3 linked regions of the Arabidopsis thaliana genome follow. The protein of the gene in region 1 purifies or fractionates together with the protein of each later gene. This does not show direct contact. Each region holds a gene or a part of one and is shown in the gene's direction. Other genes may lie near its edges.

Region 1 (9,331 bases):
TGCAGAATTTTTTGTAAGCTTCTTCGCATACATCATGAGTAGCACCTTTGACCATCTTCAAACATTGGTTTGGAACGCAATGTTTTGATACAAACTTCTATCGTGCTTGAGTAAGATATATACTCGTTCTATATCTTTTACCATCTTTTCAAGTAGTTTTTTCTTTTTTCAAGTATACCAACTTCTTTTTTCATATATAGTATTCTGATTTCTGAGCAACCATTTCTAATTAATTGTAGCTCGTAAGCTCTTTATTAAATTTAACTAAAAATCTTAGTTATATCATTATAAATAACGCATCGCATGTAGATGAAAGTATATAAATAATAACTTGTACACATGCACGTTTGAACAATCCTTAGAACAACCAATATATTTTTATCTGCATTACAACTGGCAGAAAAAAAGATTATGATGCATCTAATTACTTAAATAACCAAACTATATATAATAAGAGATGGAACAGTTTGGTAGATCCGGCGTTGAAATGACAATCCCGTAGGCTTAATAGCTATATCATGGCCATATGTTACCTCAATGAGAAGAGAAGAAACATCGTTACGTGAATATCTGAGCTTCTCTCGTGTATCCTTGCTTATTTTTCGCAAATTTAATATGTTCACGCAACAAGCATCATAATTTACTTCTTAAATAGCAGACATAATGATTACCATTTGCATAAATCCTTATTTCTTCCAAACTAACAACCCTCATCGCAATGATAGTAGGATCAAACTATACGAGCTTAGTAGTACTCATGCAATATTTTGAACCAGTAAAACTTACCCTTTTGTGGACATGCCTATGAGAGAAGAGATAAACTAATAACGTGAAGACTTGATCAATATTCAAGCTAGCTAGATGGTAGAAAATAATGCAATCATTTTTTATTAGCAAACGTTTATATTTCTCTTCTCGTAAATAAATCTAAAGAAAAGTTACAAAAAGAAAATTTATAAAGTTGTCACGTTTAGTGAATGTTTCTACTTTCTACTCTCGTAGATATGTCCAAAGCAGGGTAACTTTCACTGGTAGAAACATATATCTACTGTTTCCCTCAAATTCCATAACAAAATTCACATTATTATGGTGTGACGACATTTTGGGATTTCAATAGTGTGAAGAGTAGATAGGAGTTTGCTCAAAATCAACCACGTTGTAGGACGGCTACCTGATTCACCGGCCATCATCGCTTATCACTCACCAGTCTTTTCTTTGTTCTCTCAATTGAAAAAACAAAAATATTCCTGAGGTTAATTTTGTAGATATTCTTTATACATGGCTAACATTAACAATTTTGATACGTCGCACGCGTTCGTTGCACGTGTGAACTAGGAGGCGCAAACGACGAAAACGTAATGTTTGACGCCAGCTTTGATAGACACGTGGACAGTTCAGACGCTAATGATGTGGACACAATCTTGATCGCCGAAACACTTTTCTACATGTGGCACCGTCTATGTCGTGGATGCTTCGTAACCAACGACATTTTGCGGATGGGCCGTGACAGCCCAATAAGCATACTTTGTATGCCAGATCAGCTCTAGTGGTCCAACTGTAAAAGGAGCTGTTTGGCTTCACCTTACCTGTTCCTACTACTCTTTGAGGTTGAAATTAGCCAATTAGGTTTATTGATAAGGACTCTTATTTTATTTATGATTTATTTTCTCTTTAACATCGTCATATAGTTATGGGTCTAATGGCCACGAATTCTAAAAACGATAAATAAAACAAATTATGCTGAATATATCAAATATATGTATATGTATTTTTTTGCGTTAACTTAGCCAATTAAACACGTAACATTCGTGTTTAATGTTTTTAATTTGCCTAAGGCAATATTTTATTTTCGTCAAAAACAAGTAACCGAAGACACTTGTTTCTTTCGAAATCAGTACTCAATAAAATAAAGTTTTGTGTAAGACTAATTTTAGAGATTCTCTTAGTAGTTGACCAAAAAAAAACAAAGATGTTTTACATCAGATTCGAAGTACCACAGTTTATAAGTATGCCAATACGTGTGATTGAATACATCAATATAATTAGATCTTATCTTACATATTTGTGGACAATTAAGTCGGTATTTCGCTAAGAATGTTTTTTTTTTTTGCAAATCAAAATGTGTATTCTATGACAATATAAAAATCATATACACAAATAAATGATGGCTAGGAATCGAAAAAGATGTGTCCTCGTGGGTTTTTAGAATTGAAAGCGTCAAAAAAGAAACACTAGAGCTTTCAGATTTCAAGTATACAGCGAAGAGTAATGAGATGCCTTGAATATGGAATGGGAAAGTATCTCAGTATGGCGTAGAGTACCAACGCGTTATGGTGTATGAATGGGAAAAAATACATTCATTCAACCATATTTTATACTCCTAATATTTATATTTATTCGTATCGTGTGATTTTTTCATTAATGTGGACAAAAGTTATTGAGTACTTTTAGGTTTTAACTGGGGATCCACCCCCAGCATTAACGTCGGCTTCGAGTACCGAAATAAAATAAACGGTGTAGTAATGACGAAATAACATAAATAAGTGTCGAATAGCTCCAACACGTAGAACAAACGCAAGAAAACAAATGTTAAATGGTCAGTTTATGAAGATATAAAAACAAGGAGTATCAAACTTGAATTAAGGTTTTAAGAACATTTTGAGTGATTCAATTGCTTCTTTTATACAAAAAGTTTAAACTCAGATTACGTACGCCCACGTTCCCTTGAAGTATATTTTTAATTTTTCCTAATGCGGTTGTAATATATTTTTATAAAGATTTTAATTAAATGGTGATCAAATGTGTTAGATACTCTAACCACCACAGCCGTGGTAACTAACCACTGACCACTCGTACGTATAATACAATTTTAGAAATATACATACTTAATATGTGGTGTATTAGGTATTTTTGTAGCATTTTTTTTTGTTAAAATGTTACACGTTTGAATTATGAAGTTTACGTGCACGGTCGCAACTCGCAATATAGTTTTTATGATGTTTGTGGTTATTCGAATGACAATCATGTCCTACTACTAGCACTTCAAATCAAAGTACACGAACCTATAGCCTATAGGATGATGTATGTCTATTTATGCGAAACCAAACTATAAAAAATCTCGATTATTTATCAAATAAAATATTAGACCTAATTTACAAATGGCGGACAAAAACTCAACTTTAAAATGTAAACCTTTGGCACTATCAATATCAACATAAAAACGTTAAAAAAATAACGCAACTTTAGAATTTCATATACTACTTGCATCAACCATCTTCTGTATCTATCACTATCCGTATGGGAATATAAGTATCCTTTAAATTAATAAATCATCGCAAGTAGGAAGAGAATCAATACTCGAAAAGATATAAAAAAAACCCACCAAGACAACGATCATCTAATCACAGAAGAGAACAAAATTCTTAGAATCATAAAAGTAATTAATTAAGTAAGTCATCAAAGACAATCACCTGGAAACTCGCTTCCTAATCAAGATTTCTCGATAATCCTCTCAATCATAATCATTTCTCTACTATCAATAAAATAAGTAAACAAAGGTAGACCATAAACTAATCATTTGGTCTTCTACTATTAACGTATGAAGTAGCCCATACTATATCATATCGCTTTAAATTATACAAAGACAAATTCGAAACAATCTCGAGTACGTATGTATTATTAATTTTATGTTTACACTACGGTGTCGTTTTCAAATTTTTAATAATATTGTGGGTTTCTTTTTCGGGCTGGTGGGCTTTTTGTGTCCGCTTCCCAATACTTTTATTTTATAAATTAAAAATTAATCATCGTCTCTCTTGTGTCTCTCTGTTCATCACTTTTCTTCTTTTGATGTTCTTGTAGCGTCTGTACGAAATCTCACAAGGTTTCTTCTTCTCAGATTTAGAAATACTTGTGTGATATCTTCTGAGTAACCAAATTCTTGATAAAGTTTCTAGCTTTATTCAAACCCATTTGAAAAATCCGGTGGTGAATCGCCGGAGAAATGTGTTTTTCGTTTCTCCACTGAGTTTTTTTTGTTAAGAAATCTGTTAAAACTCTAGATTTCAAACGAATGACATTTTCTGAGATTGAGGAACATTGTGAATCGAGGACTGGAGTGAAGATTCTCTGATGAGTGATTCAGAAGAAGACGAAGAAGAAGAAGAAGCTAGTGAAGTCATTTTAAGCAGCGTCGTTCAGAAGAAGAAGAAGAAGAATCTGCGTTTCGGTGAAGAAGTAGAGAGACGAGACGGTTTGGTGTTGTTAGCTCAATCTACTCCAATGGTGAGATCGAGATCTCAAGGAACGACTCGGCGCGTGACTCCCACGCCTTTAGTAGATGTTGAGAAGCCGCTACCAAACGGAGATCTTTACATCGGAAGTTTCTCCGGTGGGTTTCCACATGGATCCGGGAAGTATCTATGGAAAGATGGGTGCATGTACGAAGGAGATTGGAAACGAGGGAAAGCTTCAGGGAAAGGCAAATTCTCATGGCCAAGTGGAGCTACTTACGAAGGTGAATTCAAATCTGGGAGAATGGAAGGTTTTGGTACTTTCACTGGAGCTGATGGAGATACTTATAGAGGAACTTGGGTTGCTGATAGAAAACACGGACATGGACAAAAGCGTTATGCAAATGGAGATTTTTATGAAGGTACTTGGAGAAGGAATCTACAAGATGGTAGAGGTAGGTATGTGTGGAGAAATGGGAATCAGTATACTGGAGAGTGGCGTAGTGGTGTGATTTCTGGGAAAGGTTTGCTTGTTTGGCCTAATGGGAATCGATATGAAGGTTTGTGGGAGAATGGGATTCCTAAAGGGAATGGTGTGTTTACTTGGAGTGATGGGAGTTCTTGTGTTGGTGCTTGGAATGAGAGTAATATTATGAGGAGTTTCTTTAATGGTGTTGAGAAGAATGATTTGATTGTGGGGAATAGGAAGAGATCTTCTGTTGATAGTGGAGCTGGGAGTTTGGGAGGTGAGAAAGTTTTTCCAAGAATCTGTATTTGGGAATCTGATGGTGAAGCTGGAGATATCACTTGTGATATTATTGATAATGTTGAAGCTTCCATGATTTATAGAGATAGGATCTCTGTTGATCGTGATGGGTTTAGGCAGTTTAAGAAGAATCCTTGTTGGTTTAATGGTGAGGCTAAGAAACCTGGACAGACTATTTCTAAAGGGCATAAGAAATATGATTTGATGCTGAATTTGCAATTAGGAATCAGGTAAATATCTCAAATTTGGTGGATTGGTGTTTTTGTTTGGTGTGTGATGGCTTTCTCTGTTGTTTCTAATGAAGGTTGTGTGTGATTGAATTAGGTATTCTGTTGGCAAACATGCTTCGATTGTTCGTGATCTTAAACAGACTGATTTCGATCCAAAGGAGAAATTTTGGACAAGGTTTCCACCAGAAGGGACTAAGACAACACCGCCGCATCAGTCAGTGGATTTCAGGTGGAAGGATTATTGCCCTTTAGTGTTCAGGTAACTTTTTAGCTTTTTTATTTTTATGAAAAGTGTTTCAATTTAGCAAATTGCTGAATGCGTTTTAAGTTTGATGATGTGGCTATACCCAAATTTGGGCTTAGTTGATAAGATTGTGGACGTATTTGTGATGAATTGTGTTTCTTTTTGGGCAAATTTTGTTTGTAGACGTCTCAGGGAGCTTTTCCAAGTGGATCCAGCTAAGTATATGCTAGCTATATGTGGAAATGATGCTCTCCGCGAACTATCTTCACCTGGAAAGAGTGGAAGCTTTTTTTACCTAACTCAAGATGATAGATTTATGATCAAAACGGTGAAGAAATCAGAAGTCAAGGTTAGTAGTTGTTGGCTCTTCTTGTTTTTGACCTTTCTCTTGTCATATTTGAAAATGCTTGTCTGTTCAAGTTAATTTACTTGATTAGCGGATGGGACACCCTTTTTGTTTGTTTGTTTCTTTGCTTTCACATTACTTTCTCAATCATAAACTCCACTAAGTCTGTGATTAGCTAAAGAAATTTGACCTGAAGTGTTTGTCTTCTTCTATCCAGGTTCTTCTAAGAATGCTTCCAAGTTACTACAAACATGTCTGCCAATACGAAAACTCCCTTGTGACTAGATTCTACGGTGTTCATTGTGTCAAACCTGTTGGTGGCCAAAAGGTATGTGTTTGTTCATCTAAAGCTTCATGGGTCTCTTAGTGTCAAGAAAATTTACTGTTTTGTTTACCATTTTTGATCAGACTCGGTTTATCGTTATGGGAAACTTATTCTGCTCCGAGTATAGAATCCAGAGACGGTTTGACCTCAAAGGGTCTTCTCATGGGCGTAGCACTGCAAAGCCTGAAGGAGAAATTGATGAGACCACGACTCTCAAGGACCTTGATCTCAATTTTTCTTTCCGTCTTCAGAGAAACTGGTATCAAGAGCTTATGAAGTAAGCTCCATGCTTCTCACTATTTTTTGCGTATGCAAAGTATTCAGCTACCTAAACATATGCTAATGCTGATCGGTATTCATGATCAGGCAAATAAAACGCGATTGTGAGTTCTTGGAAGCAGAGAGAATAATGGATTATAGCCTTTTAGTTGGTGTTCACTTCCGTGATGACAACACAGGAGAAAAGATGGGGCTTTCTCCATTCGTTTTGAGATCTGGTAAATTATACATCATTGATCATTCTCTATATGTGTCCCCCCGCTGAAGTCGACCTATCGTGAGATTTATGTCAATCTTATGCAGGTAGGATAGATTCATATCAGAATGAAAAATTCATGCGCGGTTGTCGCTTCCTAGAGGCAGAACTTCAAGACATGGACCGGATTTTAGCTGGCAGGTAACAATCATTGATCCGGGTTTCATTTTTAATGTTAAGAAGTTGACTTCACAGAGGAAGCTTTTTGCATTCATAGCCATTGAGACATGAAGTGGTTGAGAGATTCAATTTCGGATTAAGTATATAATATATGTAGGAATGATTAAATGTGCTTGGCAATCTTGTGTGGGGAGTGTTTAAACAAGTCATGTGGTCCTGTTTGCTAGAAAAGAATCAATCAATTCATGATCCATCAATTTTTGCTTAATATTCAATCTTGTGTTAACAGGAAACCATCGATCAGATTAGGCGCAAACATGCCAGCAAAAGCTGAACGAATGGCCCGGAGAAGCGATTTTGATCAGTATTCATCAGGAGGAGCCAGTTATCCATCACACGGTGAGATGTACGAAGTTGTTCTCTACTTTGGAGTCATTGACATCTTGCAAGACTACGACATAACCAAAAAGATCGAGCATGCGTATAAGTCACTGCAAGCCGATCCTGCTTCGATCTCAGCTGTTGATCCTAAACTCTATTCAAAGAGGTTCAGAGACTTCATCAGTAGGATCTTCATTGAAGAGGGCTAAAGACAAGAAGGCTAAAGTTTTTAACTAACATTCTCGGCTCTACGGAAATGTGAAGAAAGCTGCGCGGGAAGAGTAAAAAGGTAAATCTCAAGGATAGAAGAAAAGCGATTTCGGAATTTTATGTTTATATATTTTGAGATGACCAATCAAGTTTTTGGGTTGGGGAGGGGCTTTATTTATTTTTGTGGTGAGCCGTTTATATATATAATATTTATATATGTGAATATAGATTGAAGGTTTTAGTACATAGGCAGACAAGAAATTACAAGGAAAAAAGGGTTTGGTAAATTCCGAAAATGTGGAATAAAGTAAAGTGTACAAGTAAAAAAATGAAAGATAGTAATACCATTAATTAGTTCTCTTAATCCCATATTCTCATAGGATCCCTCCTTAACCATCCAAAGTTAAGGGGTCCATTATTTTGTTGTTGTTTATTTTCTTTCAATACAACTTTACCACTTGCATAATCTATGAACCTAAAGCAATGTCAATGGTAAACAGTAAATGCTAAAATAGTTGATTAGTAAAATAGTATATGGTCAAAGAAGGAAGAGTTGAATTGGGGTTGGTTTCATGAAAAGTAGATAAAGCTAAACTAGCACACCACATGTCTTTTCTTTGCATTCTTTTTGTCTAAATCTCTTAAGTCTAGTTTTTTTCATATGTGATAGCTTCACAAAGTATAAGACTGTTATTCAAATTAAAGTCTTAGATCTTTTAATAAAAACTAAAAGTCTAAGAAGCCTGAAACGGTTTGTTTATCTATGAATTCATTTAATTACGCTTGGATTCTGATCAACAATCCATTGCATCATCGTTAATTCTCAAAAAAACTAAAACTGGTTTTTTCAGACTTGACATGGTTTTATATTTTGTTTACATTAAAAGAATTTGTATATTTTTTCTTTCCAAAGTAAACAGTAGTGAGTAGACAATTATTGTTTTTCATTAAGTTTAATACTTTCTACAGTCCATATAATTGCTTTCATTGGTAATAATAAACAACTCTTGTTGCAAAAGAACATGTTAATGCACATTAGCAAAAGTAATTAATCCCATTAATAAACAACATATAGACATGAGTCACATGATATTCTATTCACAGATCCACTAGATGTTAAAAGCTGACATATTATCTAAGACTACAATGCCTAGAACTTAATAGATTAATACCAATTTGGAATTTGAAATAAGCAATTAACTAACATGTCATGTTCTCTCAGATTCTAGTGTCCGAAATCCCAAAGTCATAAATTAATAATAGTCTTTGTTTAAGATACCCTGAGAAATCATACTTATCGTAGTCTTAAAACATTGCATTATAAGAACTGAGTGGTGCAAACATATTTTACGATAGTCATAGTGTGGGTTTGGATTAGGAAAATTCGATTTAATAAAAGGAGGATGTAGTTTTCATGGATTCAGACAGATGGGGTGTCAGATATTGACAATGGAGGCCCAAATGAAGACAAGAAGAATGGGAAATTAGGGATTGGTCTCAACTTTGGGACTATGTTTGTCTGAAGTTGAAAAAAGCCACCAAATGTGCCCATTCGTGTATTTTTTTTTAACACCCCAACATAATGTCCCACCATGAAGGGGACATCTCCCCTTAGCTATCCCTTTCTCATTATTCTTGTATTTCTATAATTCTTTCGTTTGTTACAAACAATTGTTATAAGAGGTATAATTTGTAGAAAGATATATCAAAAGTAATCACTAAATAAGTAAGAATCGTAGACGCATTATCCTTATACTAATGATGTTGTCTTCACTTCCTCGAGAAACCTCGTGACTCATGACACTATTTTAATATACATGCAAATTGCAAGACATTGGATGTTGCGTAGGTGGTCATTCTTGTATAATAATAATATAATCATGAAAGAAAACACTAATTAAGGAAATATCCATTCTTAAGTTTTTCATATCTTTTATATTAT
Region 2 (7,298 bases), about 19 Mb from region 1:
TGGTGAATGTGGATAGCTTTAATGCATCTGGAGATGGAGTTTCTGATGATACTCAGGTGCGTTATGCTCGAATCGGTTTAAGAAATTCATGATAATGCTGGTGGAATAGACACACAAAACCACCATATATATATATTTTAATTATCAACTAGTGAAAAGTTTCTCTTATAACCAGGCATTTATAAGAGCTTGGACCATGGCCTGCTCTGCACCAAACTCTGTTTTATTGGTTCCACAAGGACGTAGCTATTTAGTAAATGCGACGAAATTCGATGGTCCATGTCAAGAAAAATTGATCATTCAGGTAATCTTTTAACTTCTTAATTCCTGTTACACGTTAAGCTACAACAACATGTTACCATTTATTGTCTTATGCATTTTTATTTTTTTTTAATTTTGATTTTGATAGATTGATGGAACAATCATAGCACCAGATGAGCCTAGCCAATGGGACCCGAAATTCCCAAGGAATTGGCTTCAATTTTCCAAACTCCAAGGAGTTGTATTCCAAGGGAATGGAGTTATAGATGGTTCTGGTACCAAATGGTGGGCTGCTTCTTGCAAGAAGAACAAGTCTAACGTAAGTATCTTCTTTACATAAAGTGGACTTTCTTCTAATCAATCATGAAGTAGAAATCTGACACATATCTTTCTTGTTTTTCTTTTGTAGCCTTGCGTAGGCGCACCAACGGTCTAAGTTTTTTCCCTTTTGTGTTCATCGACCATTAGACTTATCATTTATGTTTGATTTTGCTTATAAGAAAGTCTTTACTTTTATACAGGCTCTAACTATATATTCAAGTTCAAATGTGTATGTGAGAGGCTTAACTATCCGGAACAGCCAACAGATGCACTTGATCATACAACGGTCAACTACAGTTCGAATCTCTAGAGTTATGGTCACATCTCCAGGAGACAGTCCCAACACTGATGGAATTCATATAACCGCATCTACCGATGTTGTAGTCCAAGACAGTAAAATCAGCACAGGTTCTTCACCAAAAACTTCTATTTAACTCAAAACACTATCATGGTAATTATAATATTAAACTCAAAATGTTATAGCTGACACTTCAACTTGAAAACAGGAGATGATTGTGTCTCGATTGTGAATGGAAGCGCCAAGATAAAGATGAAGAGGATCTACTGTGGACCAGGACATGGAATCAGGTAAACCATCTCTAACCATAAAAAGAAATGAGACACATATATTATTATTGATTGCAAATAATTTCTTGTTCTGTAGTATTGGAAGTCTTGGACAAGGACATTCGAAAGGAACCGTCACTGCAGTTGTGTTGGAAACTGCGTTCTTAAAGAACACAACTAATGGTCTAAGAATCAAGACATGGCAGGTAAAATCTCAATTCTATTGATCTTTGCTTTCCTTCCAAAGAGTTTTCAGGATTGATTGAAAGATGAAACTCTTTAAAACAGGGTGGTAATGGTTACGTAAAGGGTGTACGTTTCGAGAACGTAGTGATGCAGGACGTTGCGAATCCGATTATAATCGATCAATTCTACTGTGATTCACCATCAACTTGTCAAAACCAGGTTTTAATTCTTTCACATAACCATTGACTTATCAACAAACCTCAAGAAAGAAACTTAATCTTTTGATTCCTATTTCTTTGCAGACATCGGCGGTTCACATATCCGAGATAATGTACAGGAACATAACCGGAACCACGAAAAGCTCAAAAGCCATCAACTTCAAGTGTAGTGACGCAGTCCCTTGCAGCCACATTGTCCTCAACAATATCAACTTGGAAGGCAATGATGGAAAAGTAGAAGCATATTGTAACTCTGCTGAAGGGTTTGGTTATGGTGTAGTTCATCCTTCTGCGGATTGTCTGTATTCGCATGACGACAAGAGCTTAAACCAAACTGATCAGTATTTGGCAGAAACTATTATGGTCGAAAAAGAAACTGAAAATGCTCATGATGAGCTTTAAGGTGATCACATATTTTGACGGTCGTTGTAGTGAGGAATGTGCACGTTATATTTAGTTGTAATTCATCTTTAGCAACTGACCTTATATATATAGCTTGTTAATGAAGCATATACAATGAGATTGAAAAGCATTGTAGTGTTTATAAATTGATTATAATTAAGGTAAAGATTAATATTTTTGTATAAAAAATGAATGCTTATTTGGTAGTTTGTAGCATTTGCTCATCTCTCTATGTTTTGTTATGATCGTTAAGGGTTGGCAGCAAAACCAGACCCAAATGTTTAAATTTTTAAGCTAATACTAAACCGGAATTGTCTCTCAATTGATTAATTTTATCATTTTGAAAATAAATCTTTTAAATGATTTTGTGGCTAACGTTTCCCAAAGTTAACCAAACCAGACAAACAAAATTTCATTAAAAATATCATTAATAGATGTAGATATGTAATCATATTATATATATTAAAATTATTTTAATAATTATAAAATTTATCAAAATTGATTGAAATGACGATTTCTTATTGGTCAGACAACATCAACAAATAACGAAATTTTCACTGGAGATGAAGTAGCACTTAAGAAAAGAGTATTGCTCACGTGTTAAGTTTTAATTGGTTAGCTCGCGAACACCTGCACACTTGGTCATAGAAGATTCGAAGAGGGTAATTCCGTCAATTACAAATGGCAATTTCGTTAATTGGCGTGAGAAACGACGAATAAACCGGTACCCCTCTCCCTTATAAAATTGCTCTCCACCACTTCCCATTTCGGCGTCATCGCGTTTCTCTTAAGCTTCTCTCACATTTCTCTTTCAAATTTCTTCGAGTCTCTCTCGCTCTCTCCGTTTCTTCGCGGTCTCTCTCTCTCAGATCTCTCCGAAACATTCTTCGTAGGTACGCTTTGATCTAAGATCTGTGCTCATACATTCTCAATTTAGCGTAGATCTGTATGTGTTCTGCATTTCTCGTTTCTTGTGAATTTTGATGGTTTTGGAATCGTCGTGATTGATTTCGTTGAGGTTGATCTTGCTCATGAATGGATAATGCGATTTTATTTTTAAGATGTGTATATATGTCGACGTTTCTGATTACGATCTGATAGTGTGGATCTGTTGAATTTTCTATTCACTTTCGTTTTCCGTCGTTGTGATTGTATCTGATAGCTTCTGAGATGTTGAAGATCTGTATCAGAGAGATTATGATATCTCGGGACGTTTGATTCTCTGTTTGGATCGGCCTGATCTCGTTGAAATTTGATGTTTGTGAGTGACGATTTTGGTATTGATCAGGTTCTTAGAGGATATAAGAATTGAATTTGGCATTATAGATGCATAATTTAGGATTTCTGAGATGAAAATCGCGTGATATAGAATGTGTATGAGGTTTTTGATATTAGACTTTGTTGTGTTTGTTTGCAGTGAAGCAAAATGGGGTTGAGTTTCGCCAAGCTGTTTAGCAGGCTTTTTGCCAAGAAGGAGATGCGAATTCTGATGGTTGGTCTTGATGCTGCTGGTAAGACCACAATCTTGTACAAGCTCAAGCTCGGAGAGATTGTCACCACCATCCCTACTATTGGTAAAGAAGCTTCACACCTTAGTACTGGTTTTTAAATTGTGATGATGGTATAAAATCTAGGATCGATTAGTGATATGCTAAATTCTATCAACAGGTTTCAATGTGGAAACTGTGGAATACAAGAACATTAGTTTCACCGTGTGGGATGTCGGGGGTCAGGACAAGGTATGGAGTCTCTGTACTGCTTATTGTTTGATGAAGGAACTTTTCACCCAAATAAACTGACTTTTTGGCTTCTTTTTCAGATCCGTCCCTTGTGGAGACACTACTTCCAGAACACTCAAGGTCTAATCTTTGTTGTTGATAGCAATGACAGAGACAGAGTTGTTGAGGCTCGAGATGAACTCCACAGGATGCTGAATGAGGTAAATATCCAGTGCTATAGAGAAAGAGTTCTTCTTCATAGTTTTGTTAGTTTGAAAATCCTTTACTTACCAACTCTTTTATTGCAGGACGAGCTGCGTGATGCTGTGTTGCTTGTGTTTGCCAACAAGCAAGATCTTCCAAATGCTATGAACGCTGCTGAAATCACAGATAAGCTTGGCCTTCACTCCCTCCGTCAGCGTCATTGGTAAATAAACATCCTTATAAGTTTCAAAAGTCAAACAATTTCTGTTCGATACTGATGTGTGTTTTTGCTCGCTACAGGTATATCCAGAGCACATGTGCCACTTCAGGTGAAGGGCTTTATGAAGGTCTGGACTGGCTCTCCAACAACATCGCTGGCAAGGTAACATAACTACATAAGTTTCTTCAAAAACACACAAATCTAACGAGCTGGTTTCTTTTTATTCTGCGATGCTTATATCTTTACCTCGTGTTGCTCTTCTTGCACAGGCATGATGAGGGAGAAATTGCGTTGCATCGAGATGATTCTGTCTGCTGTGTTGGGATCTCTCTCTGTCTTGATGCAAGAGAGATTATAAATATTATCTGAACCTTTTTGCTTTTTTGGGTATGTGAATGTTTCTTATTGTGCAAGTAGATGGTCTTGTACCTAAAAATTTACTAGAAGAACCCTTTTAAATAGCTTTCGTGTATTGTGCCTGGATTAATATGATTGATTGTTTTGCTTTCTTGTTTTTGCGTATCCTATTTTCACGTCTGCATCGTTTTCATCACAGAAATATCTTTCTTTCTTTACCAAAATAAATGAATTAGAAATTTTGTATATTTGAAAATTCATATCACTATTGGTCATTGAGTCATGGTTGTAATGGTCATGAGTCATTGAGTCATGGTTGTAAACTTCTTCAACAAGGAATAGATTCCCACATTTATATGCCAGTGTATCTTATGAAAACAAATATTATATTATGTTCACATATTGCTGGGTGATCCAAAAATCCTCAAGATATCTATTATCCCAGAATCATGGACTGTGTGAGTCTGTGACTTAACACAAATCATTGCGTCGTCTCCTTGATGTTCTTCTATGTGCAGACCATCTTTCTTTTATATCTCCAGGTGTGCCAATCCGTTGCTCATCGGGCGAGTGACCATCCTCCATTACTCCAGCTGCACGGATCCTGGCGGTCTCAGCCAACAAGTCATGGATAAGCATCTCTGTCGTCTTAGCCGTGATTCCTCTGAGATACCAAGAAATGGGCGGAGGTGGAACAATCGCTGGCTGTATTAGCTGGTCCAGCGTTACCTTAGATCCGATCCTCCCTTTACCTCCAGTGCACCTGTTATACTCCTCCAGCGTTTTCGGTTTCAAACGATCGCACATATGTTCATCCACAAACAAAGGCTTTACTTGCCAGCTTCCTTCGAATCTCTTCATGAATCCACTTTTCACTTGCTTGAATTTCATCTGCAACACCCATTTAAATCCCCTTTCACGAACCATTCAAGAAACTTGAGACTTTTGTTATAATCGTAGAGGTCTTACAGAGTGATCTGCCCGATCCTGATCCACCAAGACATGAACTGAGATTGTTCCTGACCACCAGAGAAATCTCCACAAAGCTGCTTGTTCAACTTCCACCACTTGCCTTAACCCGTCATCTACCAATACTTTCCGCGACATAACCTCCTGTAATTCCGAGGCCAATGAATCACAGGAGCTTAAAACTGTAACAGAGAGAACAAGATAATCTATAAGAAACGTACCTTGATATTCTTGAAGACTCTTCTATTGTCAGGGTCAATTACAATGTTATAGACTGCATCAGGAGGTAAACCAACATTCACCTCGGCTTTAAGATTGCAAAGCGATCCTTTTGGAATACCCACCTGTAAAGAAATCTTGTTATTATTTATCATATAACAAGATTCTCAAAGACTCTGACAAAACCATGTTGTAAAGTTCATCTCTTGCTCACCTTAACGACTGGGATCTGATCAGTCCACGAAGGGTTTTCCCTCCAACAATCTAACTGTTTCTCCAGATCAATTTGCATGGAGATCGATGAGTTTCCTTTATCTTGCCTCCATGAAGAACCAATCCCATGCTTATCATCTGTCAAATTCTTCAGCTGGGACTGTGACAAAGAGAACAAAATGCTTCCTTTTTCAGCTCCTCTAAAGATCAAAAACATCACAAGGTATTGAAAAGCAATGTGTGGAATCAGAGCATGACCTTAAGACGAGTTTGGAGTTTCTGGGAAAATCCAACGAATCGAGAGAGTGCAGGATCAAACACACTTGAGACCACATTTCCCTTGTTTCTCTCTGTGTCTGATCCCGGATTGCCCATTTCTGACCTGCACAGTGTATAAGGCAATTGAAGTAAAGCCGCAAAGTTAAACATTTTTAAGATTTCACTAAACTAAAGGAAAGCAAAAAGCTTTACTAACGAAGAAACACAGCCCAATAAAGCACCTGAACAATCTGTAAAATCACTATCAGATCCAGCCAGAGCAGAGAATTAATTTCTGCAGAGCCTTTAAGAAAGAGTTTTGTTCCACCCGACAATCCTCACCAAAATCGAGGACCCAGACCAGATCTTACAATAGCGATCGACAATGTCTAAATCGTATGGAAGCTTTATGTTGGTTTTGTGTCACACAAAGAAAGAACCATGTGATACACGCCTAAACACGTTATTCCATGGAAGAAGAAGACGAAATTATCAATAGCTTTGAATCGAGATGCGACGGATTCTAGAGTGGCCACATTTCTTCTCTTTTCTGGTCTTGGACGAAAGAGACCATTGAGGAACACGATTGCCACGTGTCGTTTTTTAGCTGGTCTTAGCGCGGAAAAATTAAGCTAACGTTGAAATCCTCGCCACTCTTTAGAAACCTGCGTGCCGTTTTTAGCTTACTGTGAAAACTGCGTCCCGTTTGTAAGATATTTGTTTTTTTAACGTACCTTTTTGATTTCACTAGCTTGGACCAAGTTCTTTTCTCAAGAAGTTATTATGATTCTAAAAGATTGTATTGAGTGCAAATGTGGTAGAAATGGAATGAGTATACAAAGTTCACGAGTATCACTGGCGTGAAAAAATTTCATTGATATGTTCTACTTTTTGACCCCATCAAATTATGGGTTTTAAACTTTGTAGGCTTCTACAAGTTGCACTCGTCTTTCGTCTTCTTCAACTAATTCGCGAAGAATCGCAAAATTGTAATTACTTCACTAACGCCATTAGTTTGGATGTTTTGATTGAGTAGATGAACTAGAATTTGTGTTATAAATTATGCTTCTATGTTTTAATTCTTTTGCATTAGACCCAGTGTCGGTCTAACGTTTGCGGGCACTAATCGAGATTTTTTTTCTCTTTTTTTAAATTACTATTTAAAATCTCGCATAAGTATTTTTT
Region 3 (6,491 bases), on another chromosome or scaffold:
TCAAAAACTTTACGTTTTTTAGAGACAGAATCTATACTAAATTAAATTTATTTCTCTAATAGACGTCGAACTCATTATCTCTATATTTGAAAGATTTACCACTGAATCAACATCATATTAGTATTTGTACAATTATATAGAACGATATACATTTTTGCCAACTTTTGAAATTATACTAAATGTCTAACCTTTAAACCAGTTTACTGTACAAATACCTATGTAAAAAGAATTCTGTGTGATATATAATTGTAAATATAATACGCAAAGAGATCGTCAATTTTGAAAAACACTTTAAATAGTAAATATTATATAGAAATTTATCTCCTTAAATTAGATGTCTATATGTTCAGAAAAAATATTGGTATATTTTAAAAATTACAACATGGCATCTGACCTGCTCAGAATTAAAATATTAACTGTAGAAGATATTTTGATACAACATAATCATATATTATTCCACTACCTCCAATAGTCCAAATATATAGCAATAATTTTCTAAAGATACGTATCAAGAATGGTTTAATATGATATCATTGTTACATGCATATGCGTAATTTTTTTCATAGTTAATATATTCTTTGTAATATGGAGCCGACTGATGAATATTGGTGAGTTCTAGTGTGTGACAAAGATGCCATTGTTGACTAGCAAATTCTAAATCTGAGGAGAATAAAATAATTCTAGAAATTGAACTTTTGTTTTTAACACCAAAATCAAAACCAATGGGCCCAATTCTTTGCTGACTTGGCCAAATGAGAGCCGTCCATATGTCAGTCGACAACTGCCAAACAATCTTGACGGTTTGTTAGTTTGGCTCAAAAGCCACCAGTAATCACTGATCAGTTTGGGACTTGAGTAAATGACTTATTTACCCTTAGTTCAATAATACGGTTTTGTGTGATTTAATTTGCTAGTTAAGTTAAACCATATTTAAGGATGGTTTAATTACATTTCAGGTGGAAAAAATTGATGAGAGAATCTAGCTAGAAAAAGATGGACACGTATGGACCGTTGAAAGTAGGAATACAAATTATTTAAGGAATACAATATTTAATTTCAACACCAAGTGTCGAATAGATACAACAATAATAATGATGAACACCAAGATTTATTTTATATTCTCTATTTTGAATATTGATTACTCCAACTTTTTCATGATTTGTTTTTCAGCACTTGAGATTGGAATAGACACACTGTGATATCGACCATAAAATATTTTCTTAGGAATATATCGTTGTGTATAAAGTATAAAGTTAAGTGTAATGCTTTAAACAAGAAAAATAAAAGAGTTGAGATTGTAATCATAGCAAAAGGCTATTTTATAGACCTTTTAGCGGATGGAAAAAAAAAAAAAAAAACACCTTTTAGCTACATGATGTAGCCTACATCATATATAAAAAAGATAATAGAATTATTTAAGAAATGTAATGTGTTATAAATTAATAACCAACACATACACAATAAGATTCATATAAGTTTATGAAATCAAGGTTGTGATATTGTTGTTATTGAGATCCAAAACTTAAAATCCAAAATATCAGAACTTTTGGAGCATTGGATTATATAAAATATATTTTTCTCAATCAAATCTTTTTTTAGTTAACAACTTTAAATTAATCGCAATAGAATTATTCATGAAAAATGTTATTTACATATAACCCAATCCAATGATTTCAAAAGAGATATTATAGAATTTTGTAAAGCATTAAAGATTTAACTACATTTTGTTACATAGACCCATAATCATAAAACCTTTGATTCATAGTTTCATTCTTATAATGGTCTCTTAAGTATGAAGGTGTTGTAGCGGAGACTAGAAATATATATGAGGGTAATGTTTGTCTGTTGAGACACATTTTTACAAGCTATTAAAAAAAATGATTCCAACAATATTTATTGAAAGTAAATGTATTTTATTAGGAGATTTTAAAATTAATGTCATATTCTAAAATGTACAATATATACATTATTTTTTGAAGATTTTACAATAAATTTCAAAGTGAAACTGAAATGATTTTATTAAATTTATATACATAACTCTTTGTGTTTTTTTGACAGTCATATATATAACTCTTAAACACAAGCTTTTACAGAACATCTACAGTTATTTTAGGTGAATAAACACTCCAATTTCAAACAATTTAAATAAATAAATGATAATTATCTGTCAACCCATAAACTTTACATTGTAAGACCATTTTATTTTATTTATTTTGACTATTTATGGATATGTGATATTATTGAGAAAAAAAACACTATTACTAATTGACAGAAAAAATACACTTAATATTTTCTCCTAAATTTTCTCAACGAATTAATTACAAAATAATGTGTATACCAAGTAAAAAGATTCTACTTCTCAGTGACAGCAGAACTAATTTATTCAAGGGTAGTTTCGGAATAATAAAAAAGCAATAAATCTCTTTTTCCTATAAAAGCAAAGAGACACTCACCAAACAACTCGTCCCTGAAACCTCTCTTCAGAAAACTCAGGCACCATTTTCTCCTTCCGCCGCCGCCATGGAATCACTTCCCCAGCCGCAAAACCAATCATCTCCGGCAACAACTCCGGCGAAGATCCTCCTTGGGAAATACGAACTCGGTCGTCGTCTCGGTAGCGGAAGCTTCGCGAAAGTCCATTTAGCTCGATCAATCGAATCCGACGAGCTCGTCGCCGTTAAAATCATCGAGAAGAAGAAAACAATCGAATCCGGTATGGAACCAAGAATAATCAGAGAGATCGATGCGATGCGTCGTCTTCGTCATCATCCAAACATACTCAAGATCCATGAAGTTATGGCAACCAAATCTAAGATCTATCTCGTAATGGAACTCGCTTCCGGTGGTGAACTTTTCTCAAAAGTCCTCCGTCGTGGACGTCTTCCTGAATCAACGGCGCGTCGTTACTTTCAACAACTCGCCTCCGCTCTTCGTTTCTCTCACCAAGACGGTGTCGCTCACCGTGATGTGAAACCTCAGAATCTACTCTTAGATGAGCAAGGTAACCTCAAGGTCTCTGACTTTGGTTTATCAGCTTTACCGGAGCATCTACAAAACGGATTGCTTCACACGGCGTGTGGTACTCCGGCTTATACAGCTCCGGAGGTTATTTCACGGAGGGGATACGACGGAGCAAAAGCTGATGCGTGGTCTTGTGGTGTGATTTTGTTTGTTTTATTGGTTGGCGATGTTCCATTTGATGATTCGAATATCGCTGCGATGTATCGGAAGATTCATCGGAGAGATTATCGGTTTCCGAGCTGGATTTCGAAACAAGCTAAATCGATAATCTATCAGATGTTAGATCCGAATCCAGTAACGAGGATGAGTATTGAAACAGTGATGAAAACGAATTGGTTCAAGAAGTCTCTAGAGACTTCTGAGTTTCATCGTAACGTCTTTGATTCGGAAGTAGAGATGAAATCGAGTGTTAATTCGATTACTGCTTTTGATTTGATCTCGTTATCGTCGGGATTAGATCTTTCTGGATTGTTTGAGGCTAAGAAGAAGAAGGAGAGGAGATTCACGGCGAAGGTTTCGGGTGTTGAAGTGGAGGAGAAGGCGAAGATGATTGGGGAGAAGTTAGGTTATGTAGTGAAGAAGAAGATGATGAAGAAGGAAGGAGAAGTGAAGGTTGTTGGATTAGGGAGAGGAAGAACTGTGATTGTGGTGGAAGCAGTGGAGTTAACGGTGGATGTTGTGGTGGTTGAAGTGAAAGTTGTTGAAGGTGAAGAAGATGATTCACGGTGGTCTGATTTGATTACTGAGCTTGAAGATATAGTTCTTTCATGGCACAATGACATCATGTAAATAGATTGTGACTTTGTGGATTTTAGTCTCTTTTTTGTTTTGTTTCTGTTCAGTTTTGTATAATCCATGAAGAAATCAAAATCTCCCGCTTCATTGTCTTTTTACCAGCAGATACATTACCCTCTCTGCTACCGATTCCATAAGCTTTGATCACTACATGGTACTCAATAATGATTCTCTTATTCGCTCCTTGTCGCTAAGCCCATGGGCTCAACTCAACGCATCTTCAACATCCTCAATATAAAATTCAAAGCCTCAAGAATAGGTGGGGATAATGTATCTTAGACATTTCGTCGAATTGGTGGGTGCTAAAAAAAATTCTTCAGTAAAAGAAAAGGGACGTAAGATAAGGTCCAACAAAAACAAATTATTCATAGGAAGACTTGCCAAGTCAAAAGTCAAGCTCCTCACACTTTTATAAAAACAAGTGAGTTTATGCTCATCACTTACCACAAACAAATTATCTTCCTTTCCCAAAAAAAACGAAATTGAGAGACGATGATTCGAAGCCTATCTTATTGCTTTCTTACCATCTATTTCTTCTTGAGCATTCTTCCATTACCAAACACCATTGCTTGTCCCACACGGTTACTGTGCCGCAGCGACCAAAGAGATGCTCTTTTAGAGGTACAAAAGGAGTTACATGTACCAACAACTACATGGAACAAGAACGTTGACTGTTGTTCTTGGGATGGTGTCACATGTGATGCTATATTGGGAGAGGTGATATCACTACAACTCTATTATAGTACTGCTAACATCTTCGTGAGCTAGTGCTTTCACGTTGCAAACTTCAAGGGGAAATTCCTTCTTCCATTGGAAATCTTTCTCATCTCACATATCTTGATCTTTCGAATAATCAATTAGTAGGTGAAGTTCCCGCTTCAATCGGTAACCTAAACCAACTAGAGTCCATGCGTCTTTGGGATAATGATCTAAAAGGTAATATTCCTACTTCATTTGCCAACTTAACAAAGCTTTCTGAATTGTACCTCTTTGGAAATCAGTTCACGGGTGGGGATACAGTATTAGCCAATTTAACCAGCTTGTCCATTATAGACCTCTCCTTAAATTACTTCAAATCCTCCATTTCCGCTGACCTTAGTGGACTTCACAACTTAGAGCGATTTTCGGTGTATAACAACTCATTTTCCGGACCTTTTCCTTTATCATTGCTCATGATTCCTTCTTTAGTCCATATTGATTTAAGCCAAAACCACTTCGAGGGACCTATTGATTTTAGGAATACCTTTTCATTATCTAGGCTAAGAGTGTTATATGTTGGCTTCAACAATTTAGATGGGCTAATTCCAGAATCTATATCTAAATTAGTCAATCTCGAATATTTAGATGTTAGCCACAACAATTTCGGAGGACAAGTCCCTAGATCAATATCTAAAGTAGTCAACCTCACTAGCGTTGACCTTTCCTATAATAAGTTGGAAGGTCAAGTCCCTGATTTTGTATGGAGATCCTCAAAGTTGGATTATGTGGATCTTTCTTATAATTCTTTCAACTGCTTCGCCAAATCAGTGGAAGTTATCGATGGAGCATCATTAACTATGTTAAATCTTGGTTCAAATTCAGTCGACGGACCATTCCCCAAATGGATATGCAAGGTTAAAGATTTATACGCCTTGGATTTGTCCAACAACCATTTTAATGGTTCCATTCCTCAATGTTTGAAGTATTCCACTTATTTTCATACGTTAAATCTGAGAAACAACAGTCTAAGTGGGGTTCTACCAAATTTATTCATTAAGGACTCTCAGTTGCGATCACTTGACGTTAGCAGCAATAATTTGGTGGGTAAACTTCCAAAATCGTTGATCAACTGCGAGAGGATTGAATTTTTGAATGTGAAAGGAAACAAAATCATGGACACGTTTCCATTTTGGTTGGGATCTCTACCATATTTAAAAGTTCTTATGCTCGGATCAAATGCATTTTATGGTCCCGTCTATAACCCCTCCGCATATTTGGGGTTTCCAAGTATAAGGATCATTGATATATCCAATAACAACTTTGTTGGATCATTGCCACAAGACTATTTTGCCAATTGGCTTGAAATGTCTTTGGTGTGGAGTGGTTCGGACATCCCACAGTTTAAATATATGGGAAACGTTAATTTTAGTACGTATGATTCGATCGATTTGGTGTACAAAGGAGTAGAGACGGATTTTGATCGTATCTTTGAAGGTTTCAATGCTATTGATTTTTCTGGAAACCGATTCTCCGGACATATCCCTGGGTCTATTGGTCTACTGAGCGAACTGCGTCTTCTGAACTTGTCAGGCAATGCATTCACAGGCAATATCCCACCATCCTTGGCGAATATCACAAATCTCGAGTCATTAGACCTATCACGAAATAACTTGTCTGGTGAGATTCCTATAAGTCTTGGAAAACTCTCGTTTTTGTCCAACACCAACTTCTCCTACAATCATCTTGAAGGATTGATTCCACAAAGTACACAGTTTGCAACTCAAAATTGTTCTTCGTTCCTGGGTAATCTTGGACTCTATGGTTTCAGGGAAATTTGTGGAGAAAGCCATCATGTGCCCGTTCCTACTACATCTCAGCAACCCGAGGAACCTTTGTCGGAATCGGAAGACCAATTGCTGAACTGGATAGCAGCTGCGATAGCGTTTGGACCTGGTATGTTTTGTGGATTAGTGATC

Evidence for each region.
Region 2: the proteins of PIP5K1 (region 1) and ARFA1D purify together in Arabidopsis thaliana (affinity purification with mass spectrometry, with the first as the bait; one study listed by BioGRID). This does not show direct contact.
Region 3: the proteins of PIP5K1 (region 1) and CIPK7 purify together in Arabidopsis thaliana (affinity purification with mass spectrometry, with the first as the bait; one study listed by BioGRID). This does not show direct contact.

What each region holds. Positions count from the first base shown.
Region 1 is NC_003070.9:7,730,922-7,740,252, forward strand, and holds PIP5K1 (phosphatidylinositol-4-phosphate 5-kinase 1), read left to right. Parts: upstream 1-3,739; 5' UTR 3,740-4,131; coding exon 4,132-5,228; intron 5,229-5,322; coding exon 5,323-5,487; intron 5,488-5,655; coding exon 5,656-5,821; intron 5,822-6,035; coding exon 6,036-6,146; intron 6,147-6,226; coding exon 6,227-6,420; intron 6,421-6,509; coding exon 6,510-6,640; intron 6,641-6,725; coding exon 6,726-6,819; intron 6,820-7,087; coding exon 7,088-7,388; 3' UTR 7,389-7,851; downstream 7,852-9,331. UniProt on the Arabidopsis thaliana protein: Catalyzes the synthesis of phosphatidylinositol 4,5-bisphosphate and phosphatidylinositol 3,4-bisphosphate.
Region 2 is NC_003070.9:26,561,236-26,568,533, reverse strand, and holds ARFA1D (Ras-related small GTP-binding family protein), read left to right. Parts: upstream 1-2,722; 5' UTR 2,723-2,848; exon of another isoform or gene 2,849-3,372; 5' UTR 3,373-3,381; coding exon 3,382-3,529; intron 3,530-3,623; coding exon 3,624-3,694; intron 3,695-3,774; coding exon 3,775-3,894; intron 3,895-3,981; coding exon 3,982-4,100; intron 4,101-4,177; coding exon 4,178-4,259; intron 4,260-4,366; coding exon 4,367-4,372; 3' UTR 4,373-4,816; downstream 4,817-7,298. Other genes in the region: AT1G70500 (Pectin lyase-like superfamily protein), read left to right, coding at 1-56, 176-304, 410-580, 671-691, 783-990, 1,089-1,170, 1,247-1,355, 1,438-1,554 and 1 more; AT1G70480 (OBP32pep, putative (DUF220)), read right to left, coding at 4,926-5,345, 5,424-5,567, 5,645-5,767, 5,857-6,015, 6,114-6,284. UniProt on the Arabidopsis thaliana protein: GTP-binding protein involved in protein trafficking; may modulate vesicle budding and uncoating within the Golgi apparatus.
Region 3 is NC_003074.8:8,170,134-8,176,624, forward strand, and holds CIPK7 (CBL-interacting protein kinase 7), read left to right. Parts: upstream 1-2,345; 5' UTR 2,346-2,520; coding exon 2,521-3,810; 3' UTR 3,811-4,009; downstream 4,010-6,491. Other genes in the region: RLP36 (receptor like protein 36), read left to right, coding at 4,725-6,491. UniProt on the Arabidopsis thaliana protein: CIPK serine-threonine protein kinases interact with CBL proteins. Binding of a CBL protein to the regulatory NAF domain of CIPK protein lead to the activation of the kinase in a calcium-dependent manner.